Oryctolagus cuniculus: one gene and its partner. The protein of the gene in region 1 purifies or fractionates together with the protein of each later gene. This does not show direct contact. Links are inferred from orthologs where the notes say so. Each region holds a gene or a part of one and is shown on either strand. Other genes may lie near its edges.

The links. The genes of interacting proteins can lie anywhere in the genome.
Region 2: the proteins of ARHGAP12 (region 1) and ASAP1 purify together in Homo sapiens (co-immunoprecipitation; 3 studies listed by BioGRID and IntAct, with this or other methods). This does not show direct contact. The link is inferred for Oryctolagus cuniculus from reciprocal best matches to the Homo sapiens genes ARHGAP12 and ASAP1.

The regions. Positions count from the first base shown.
Region 1 is NC_091444.1:102,358,556-102,362,071, forward strand, and holds part of ARHGAP12 (rho GTPase-activating protein 12), read right to left. Parts: intron 2,506-3,516; 5' UTR 2,427-2,505; coding exon 1,755-2,426; intron 1-1,754. UniProt on the Homo sapiens protein: GTPase activator for the Rho-type GTPases by converting them to an inactive GDP-bound state.
Region 2 is NC_091437.1:156,098,514-156,102,597, forward strand, and holds the start of ASAP1 (arf-GAP with SH3 domain, ANK repeat and PH domain-containing protein 1), read right to left. Parts: upstream 2,801-4,084; 5' UTR 2,662-2,800; intron 1-2,661. UniProt on the Homo sapiens protein: Possesses phosphatidylinositol 4,5-bisphosphate-dependent GTPase-activating protein activity for ARF1 (ADP ribosylation factor 1) and ARF5 and a lesser activity towards ARF6.

The DNA.
Region 1 (3,516 bases):
CTCCCCAAGGCCAAAGGCGCTCCCACGCCACAGCTTCTATTCTGACGGTGAGGCAGAAGGCAGGGCTATCTGCTAGGAGCAGGGTAAAACACGTGAAAAAAGGAAACAGCCCGGGTTTCACGCAGTTGCCCTGCAGAGCTGGAAACGGGGCTGGCTTGGGAAATCCAGGAGGACTTCCTGCAAGAGTGTTAAGGCCCCAGGAGAGGTCAGGAGCCATGAACCTCCAGTGCCATGGACGTGAGATGGCAAGCAGGAAGAGGGTACGGAACAGCTGGCGTATGTCACTAACATAACGTCAAGTAGGAAGCGGTGGTGATGGCTGGAAGGAACAGAAGACACGTGTGCTTCCAAGGCCCGTCAGGTGCACAAGGAGCCAGCAAGCACCACGTACTCCGCGTCTGAGCATCACACAGACTGAAGACAGGCCTGGGAAGACGACGAGGACGAAACTGACGGTGCGACTCTGCGGAGCCGCCCTGGTCACAAGCAAACACCAGAAGTTTCTCTAGACAATCTCCCCTTTTCCCTATTTCCATCCCCAAGTGTTACAAATTACAGCCCACGGAAAGAATGTACTTGCACGGCATTCAGACCACACCTACGACCAGCCTCACGGTTATTCACGGCCTTAACCTGATGAGGAATCTGACAACAGAGTCTGAGGCCAAAAGTCACTAATTATTAAACTCACTTAAAATGGGACATTTCCAAATATGTCCAAGTTTGGATTTCACACTTTTTTTTTTTTTTTTTTGACAGGTAGAGTTATAGAGAGAGAGATAGACAGAGAGAAAGGTCTTCCTTCCATTGGTTCACCCCCCTAAATGGCTGCTATGGTCAGCACTGCACTGATCCGAAGCCAGGAGCCGGGTGCTTCCTCCTGGTCTCCCATGTGGGTGCAGGACCCAAGCACTTGGGCCATCCTCCACTGCCTTCCTGGGCCACAGCAGAGAGCTGGACTGGAAGAGGAGCAACCGGGACAGAATCCGGTGCCCCAACCGGGACTAGAACTTGGGGTGCCGGCACTGCAGGCGGAGGATTAACCAAGTGAGCCCCGGCACCAGCCCCCCACACGATTTTTTTTAAAATGACTTCCCATCACTTGAGAAATAAACTGGCATAGATCTAATCTCAAAAGAAAGTTGCATAATGAAAAAAATCATATAAAAAAATGACGGATGCAAGATTGTTTCTGGGCTAATAATTCAATGCCATCAATTCTGAATAATGACACTTCAGACACAAAAGCACATGAATGAAGATAAAGGGGCATGAGCTATTTTTTTTTTTTTTTTTGGCACTCAAGGTTAATAAACAAGTTCCACAGAACAAATGTCAACAGTCTGGTGACGTCTTTCCTCATCTACATACTATCACCCAGCAACTACTGCAAGCAAGTCCGGAAGAGTACTGCCAGACACAGTAAAGCCTTTCCCAGTGAAAGAAAAGCCATCGCTGTATAAAGCAGTCCTTTCTGCTTCATGCGCAGTCTACATACAGAAAAGCCGTCCACACTGATCTACAGTGCGCCAGCTCTGCAGGGGTGCGAGAAGAATCGCAAAAGCCACAAGGTGGCCTCTAGGAGCTCCACAAGTTACGTCACCTATTGTCTAGCTCTAAATCAGGATAAGGCCCACGTGTCCTGAAAATCCCGAGCAACACGCAAGTCTTAAGGCCTACAAAGACCTTAATTACGAGAAGAATCCATGACTTTTATTAAGGAGGCGCGGGGCTGCATCTCGGTTTCCGCTTACCCTGATCTGCTCAGTGGAGCTGCTGCTCAGCTCGTCCCCGGACTCCGAGTCCTGGTGGACCTTTTCCGAGCCTTCTCCCGCAGAATCACACGACTGCTCCTGGGAGAAGCTCGTTTTCTCCACGTCCAGGAACTCCGGGCCGGGAAAGTGACCGAATAAGCGTGTCCTGTTCTGGCTGGGCACTTTAGGAGAGTGAGAGTCATGGGTGAACTTCCCGTTATTGTGGGTCAGGTCCAGGCTGAGGTTGAGGGTCTGACCTGCATTGTAACTGGGTCCGAAATTCTGATTGGCATCACGGACGAGACCGGTTCCTTGAACGGACGCCGGCTTTCCGAAGCTCGAGAGCTCGGGCAGCTTGTTCACATTTTCTGTCGACCTCTGCAGGGGCAGACTCTGTATCATCTTTACGGAATTGCTGGGCAGTCCCACCGGCGGCTTAACGGGCGGCATCAGAGCTTTTCGCGTGACCTCCTTCACGTACTGGGCTGGCACGTAGAAGGCTTTGGAGCTCTCATCCGGCTTGACCTGCCACCAGTCGTCGTTGGTCTTTTTCACCAACATGTACCGCTCGCCCTGCTTGATCACGATCTTCCTGTCCTTCGCTTCATACTCATAGTCATATTCCACTTCGATATACACTTGTCCTGGAACCAGCTTCCCCCTGTCAGCCATGTTGACTCAGTGGGGTTCACCTCTCAGACAGGATGATGTGCCACATTCTGGCTTTATTCGGCTCGCTGCACGGACGTAGCTATTTTGTTTAAGGAAAGGAAGAGAATGCACAAAAAAGTAAATATAATCTGGATTTGATATTTACTCACAAACAGCATACAGCTCAGGTTTTTTCTTCAAATCTCAAACTTCTAAAAGTACACGTGTGTCTGTCTAGCAGTGTATTAAAACACTGTCACTCTGGGGCCAGTGCTGTGGTGCAGCAGGTTAACGCCCTGGCCTGAACTGCCAGCATCCCATATGGGCGCTGGTTCTAGTCCTGGCTGCTTCTGTTCCCATCCAGCTCTCTGCTGTGGCCTGGGAAAGCAGTAGAAGATGGCCCATGTCCTTGGGCCCCTGCACCTGCGTGGGAGACCAGGAAGAGGCTTCTGACTCCTGGCTTCGGATCAGCACAGCTCTGGCCGTTACAGCCATCTGGGGAGTGAACCAGCAGATGAAAGACCTCTCTCTCTCTGTCTCTACCTCTCTCTGTAACTCTTTCAAATAAATTAAAAAAAAAAAAAAAAAAAAAAAAAACTAAAAAACCACTTTGACTCCAACTAAGCTACACTGTTCAGTAACTTAGGACTGGAGCACACACTAAGTAGTCAGACGCAACTATCAGATGTGAGAGTTGAGAAGAACGTAACTTTTCATGATGACATCACACTTTCCTTCACTTTCCCAGAAAAGCTCACGGATGATAATAAGTAGTGAGCGCCTTCCAAGAGCCAGGTGCTGAGCTCTTAGCTCCAATACGCACCAGGGAGGAGTCTTTATGAAGTTAGACCTACACAGTGATGCCACATTAGTATTTTACTCTTTATTTTCCAAAGGATCATGAAAATTATTACGGAGCTTAAAAATATTTTTAATTACCCAATTATACAAGTTAATTTCCTAATTTAAGAACAGCATTAAGCCGGCGCCGTGGCTCAATAGGCTAATCCTCCACCTTGCGGCGCCGGCACACCGGGTTCTAGTCCCGGTTGGGGCGCCGGATTCTGTCCCGGTTGCCCCTCTTCCAGGCCAGCTCTCTGCTATGGCCAGG
Region 2 (4,084 bases), on another chromosome or scaffold:
GTCTCATCAGGACGCACAAGGGGGGCTTCCCAGGGAGCAGGTGCTCAATACATGCTTGCTGAATTGATTATTAAAATTGTGAGGCTGACACTGAAAGATGACGCTGGAATGAGAAAGCCTTGGAAACACCATGCTCTTCCTCTCTGACTGACCGGTGCCTCCTCCAGGGAGACAGACACTTAGCAAATGTTTACTGGACACAAGGAAGAGTGACTCAATTCCAGATAAATCTGAAAAGTGCAGTCTTTTCTGGACACGCCTCTCAAAGGGGTTCCTCTCCTCCAAGGGACTTCTTTAAGAGCCTAGGGCAAGGAAGGGCCAGCGCTACATTATAGCAGATAAAACTGCTGCCTGTGGCACTGGCATCCCACATGGGCGACAGTTCAAGTCTCAGCTGCTCCTCTTCCAATCCAGCTCCCCGCTAACGGGCCTGGGAAAGCAGCGGGAGATGGCCCAAATGCTTGGGTACCTGCAACCACAAAGCAAACCAGGAAGAAGCTCCTGGCCCCTGAATTCTGCCTGGCCCAGCCTCAGCCATTGCAGCTACCTGAGAAGTGAACCAGCGGATGGAAACTCAATCTCTCAATCTCTCAATCAATCTCTCTCTCTCTCTCTCTCTCTCTCTGCCTTTCAAATAAATAAATATATGTATTTCTTAAAAAGAGTCTAGGGCATCCAGCAATTACTCAACAAATGCCAGCTGTTACTGTCACTATTGCCTGTGTGGAGATTATTCATTCATTCTTGAGCCCATGCCAGATATAGTGGACAGGAGAGAAGTGAGGTCCAGAAACAAGGAGGGATGGGGTGGGTAGGATCCGCTCAAACACGAGGGATGAGTCGATAGGGACGATGCTGGAGCAGCTGCCCCAGCGAACACGAGTTCCCTTCTTCCACACAGGACTTGATCTGAATGCACACATCCATCCTTGGTCTGCAAGGCTCACAGCAATTGTGAAAATCTGGCTCAGTGCGGCTTGTAAGGACTGGAGAGGTGGAGTGAATTTCAATTTCTTTCACCAAATGGCAAGCTTGCAAAAAAAAAAAAAAAAAAGTCCTTTCTCTCAACATGATCACCTACTAAAAACAAAAACCCAGCCATCAGCGCTCTCGTGAGAAGAAAAATAGATGGATGGCTTAGCTCACAAGAAAGAGGAGTGCTGGAAATGAACCCCAGAGAACATCATAGGGTACGCTACGTGCTACGACACCGCCCTTATTGTGGACTTGAGAGCTTTCAATTTTCCACAAAAGAATGGGATGGAGAAAGGTAACTTCCCATGTAATAAGCCACCCATTTGTATTTCAGGTCCATCTGGAGGTTGAACAGTAAGCGTTGGGCAATTTTTTAACCCTCCTCCTCAAATACGAATTTTGAGATAACGGAACGTCTCACAAACAGCAGGGACAGGTAAGAGAGAACAGAAGGCGCCACACAGGTGAGGGCGGCAAGGCACGCACCTCTGTTCAATCCTGCCCATGGCTGCAGACCTTAATGCGATGCAGGCACAGGGTTCGGTTCCAAGACTCAGAAACCAGTCCTGGCCTTGCCACCCACTAGCCATTGACCGTGGCCATAGGCAACTCAGGTCGGCTCCCTGGCCCTCATCTGTGGAACAACAAGAAGCTGACACGGTTGTTCTCAAGGTTCAGACTGTTGCATGGACGTCCCCAGACTGGACGTAACGCCTGCCACCCAGCAGCCCTCAAATCGCCAAGCGTGAACGCCTCGGGGCGAGGTGTATGTCCAACAGACATACAGCCGGCCTAAACGTGGTTTTACAATCCCGGTCCTGTGGTCATCCCAGAATCAACTGTGCCTAGACAACCCCGCTGGGCAGACCTGGTGGGGGAGGGTGCGCCAAGGGAGAGGGAGTCGGGGTTCCCCTGACAGGGACAGCCAAGGCTGAGGTCAAGTTAACGCCGGCCAGCAGTGGCCCACGGGGCCCGCTGCATGACTGGAGAAACCGCTTAGGGCGTGCGGGAGAAGCCGCCGGACGCCCGCGAGTTTCTTTCTTTTAAACTTCTTGTTGCTTTCAGCAAAAGCAGCAGGTCCCCCAAGTGATCCAAGCGGAACACACCACCCTGTACTTCCCGCGAGGAGACGCCGAGCCCCACGGGGGAAATTTCCCCTCACTTTTCCCTTCGTTTCCTTTCTCTGGTTTGGAGCAAGTGGCCTAGGGCCTGCGTGGCAGCGCCGTGTCCGGGCGGGGAACTTTCCCGACCACGCCAGAGAGACAATGCCGCGGCCAAGCGCCCGCGCCTCCGCGCCGGAGGGCGCCCCCACGGCGGGGTCCCCGGCGCCAGGCGCGCTGCCCCGGCCTCCCTCGAGGAAGGGGGCGCCCAGCCACCCAGGGCGGCCCCCGCCCCCATCGCGGCGCCTCTGCAGAGCCGGGGCTCCCGCGCGCGCAGCCCAGGCCCCCTCTCCCGAGCCGGGGACGCGGAGCCCCTGGGCGGCCTCGGCGGCCCTGCAGAGCGCGGCCGTGCGCACAGCACACTGCCCTCCTCCCCGCTCCGACCCCGCCAGAGCGGGACGCCTCTCCGGGAAAGGACCCGCCAGCCCACCCGGCGCCCCGGCCCGGCCCCGCCGAGCGCGGGGTCAAGCGACCGCGGGCCAGCCCGCCCGGCCCCGCCAAGCCCGCCCGGGTGCCCGCAACTCACCGGGACCGGGCGGGCGGCTGGGCATTATTCCATCGCGGGCTCGGCGCCGGCTCCCCAGCGGCGGCGCACACGCCCGCGCCCCGGCAGCCCTCGGCCGGGCGTTCGCGGCTCTCGGGTCGGAACCGGGCTGCGGCCGGCGGACAGCCGGCGGGGCGGGAGGCGCGGGCCGGGCTGCCCGAGCGCAGAGTGGCCGCCCGCGGCGGCGGCGAGGCGAGGCGAGGCGCGGGAGCCGAGCGCGGCGCAGGAAGGGGCGGGCGACCATGTGCAAGGGGGAGGAGGCGGCGGCGCGAGCGGCTCGCACGATCCCGCTCGGCGGCGGAGGGCGCGGGTTTCAGGAAATCCAAACACTTCGACAGGAAATCGGAATCCTGACTAAGCATTCCCGGCCCGGGCCGCTCCGCGCCGGGGGCTCCCGCCTCACTTAACCCTTGGCCCGCCGGCACGCAGGCACCGGGGCGCAGTGGCCGCAGCGGCTGGGGACGCGCGGGGTCTCCGGCTCCCCTGCGGCGGCGGGCGTCCTGCCCCCGGGTCCCCTCTCCCCCGCTGGCTTCCCTGCGCCTCGCCGGGCGGTGGAAGGGGTGGGATTTATCCCCGGAAAACCTTGGCCTTGGGAGGTGCCTGTCCAAGGCCGGAACAGCGCCAGAGGACCTCAGCCTCACTCCGGTGCTGTGAGGTTTGCTCCCCAGTTTTGATCAAAGAAATGACTTCGCCTCGCTTTGTCCCTGCAGTTTTCTTCATGTTGCCCGGTGCACAAGTAGTGGTAGTGTGGACAGCATCGTGAGGGCTGGGGTCCCTGATCCGGGATGCAGATGGCTCTACCTTTTTTCTTCCCCCTGTGGTAACCTTGAGTCACTTCTCCGAGCCTCAATGTCCTCAAATAAGACAGAGGTTCGATTTGGAAACCAAGTGTTTAGCCATGCTATTCTTGCTATTGCCGTGCAGCGACTCGAGAGAAAAGAGGACTTTAACTTGTGGGGTGTGCCCCGGGCTTATCTGTGCCAACTTACAGAGCCAGAGGCAGCCAGCGGTGTTTCCTCCTAACGATTGGGTGATTATTCTTCTTTGCAGCATTTCGGCAACTGCTCTCTGCAGAGGAAAAGGTTAGTAGCTGGGGCCGGACCCCCTTCTGGTGAAATCTGAAACTCCCGCAAATGTGGGCGTTTGCCCTGAACCTGGGAGTCAGGACGTGGGGCTGGGGCAGGGGGTGTTTGAAAATCACGCTGGGTTTCAGAAGCTTGGGGAAAAGCAGTCAACCTCTGCACAGACAGACTGGATGGCCCGTGCGAGTGAATCACTGTGGTTTCCCACGGAAATGCCACATTTTGGGGGTGCTTTACCTGGGGATGCGGCTTGGTGGTTTGGCTCTAAGTGTTTCAGATTCCTCCGAAACCCAGTCAGACTTTGAAGAGGGAACAACATGACT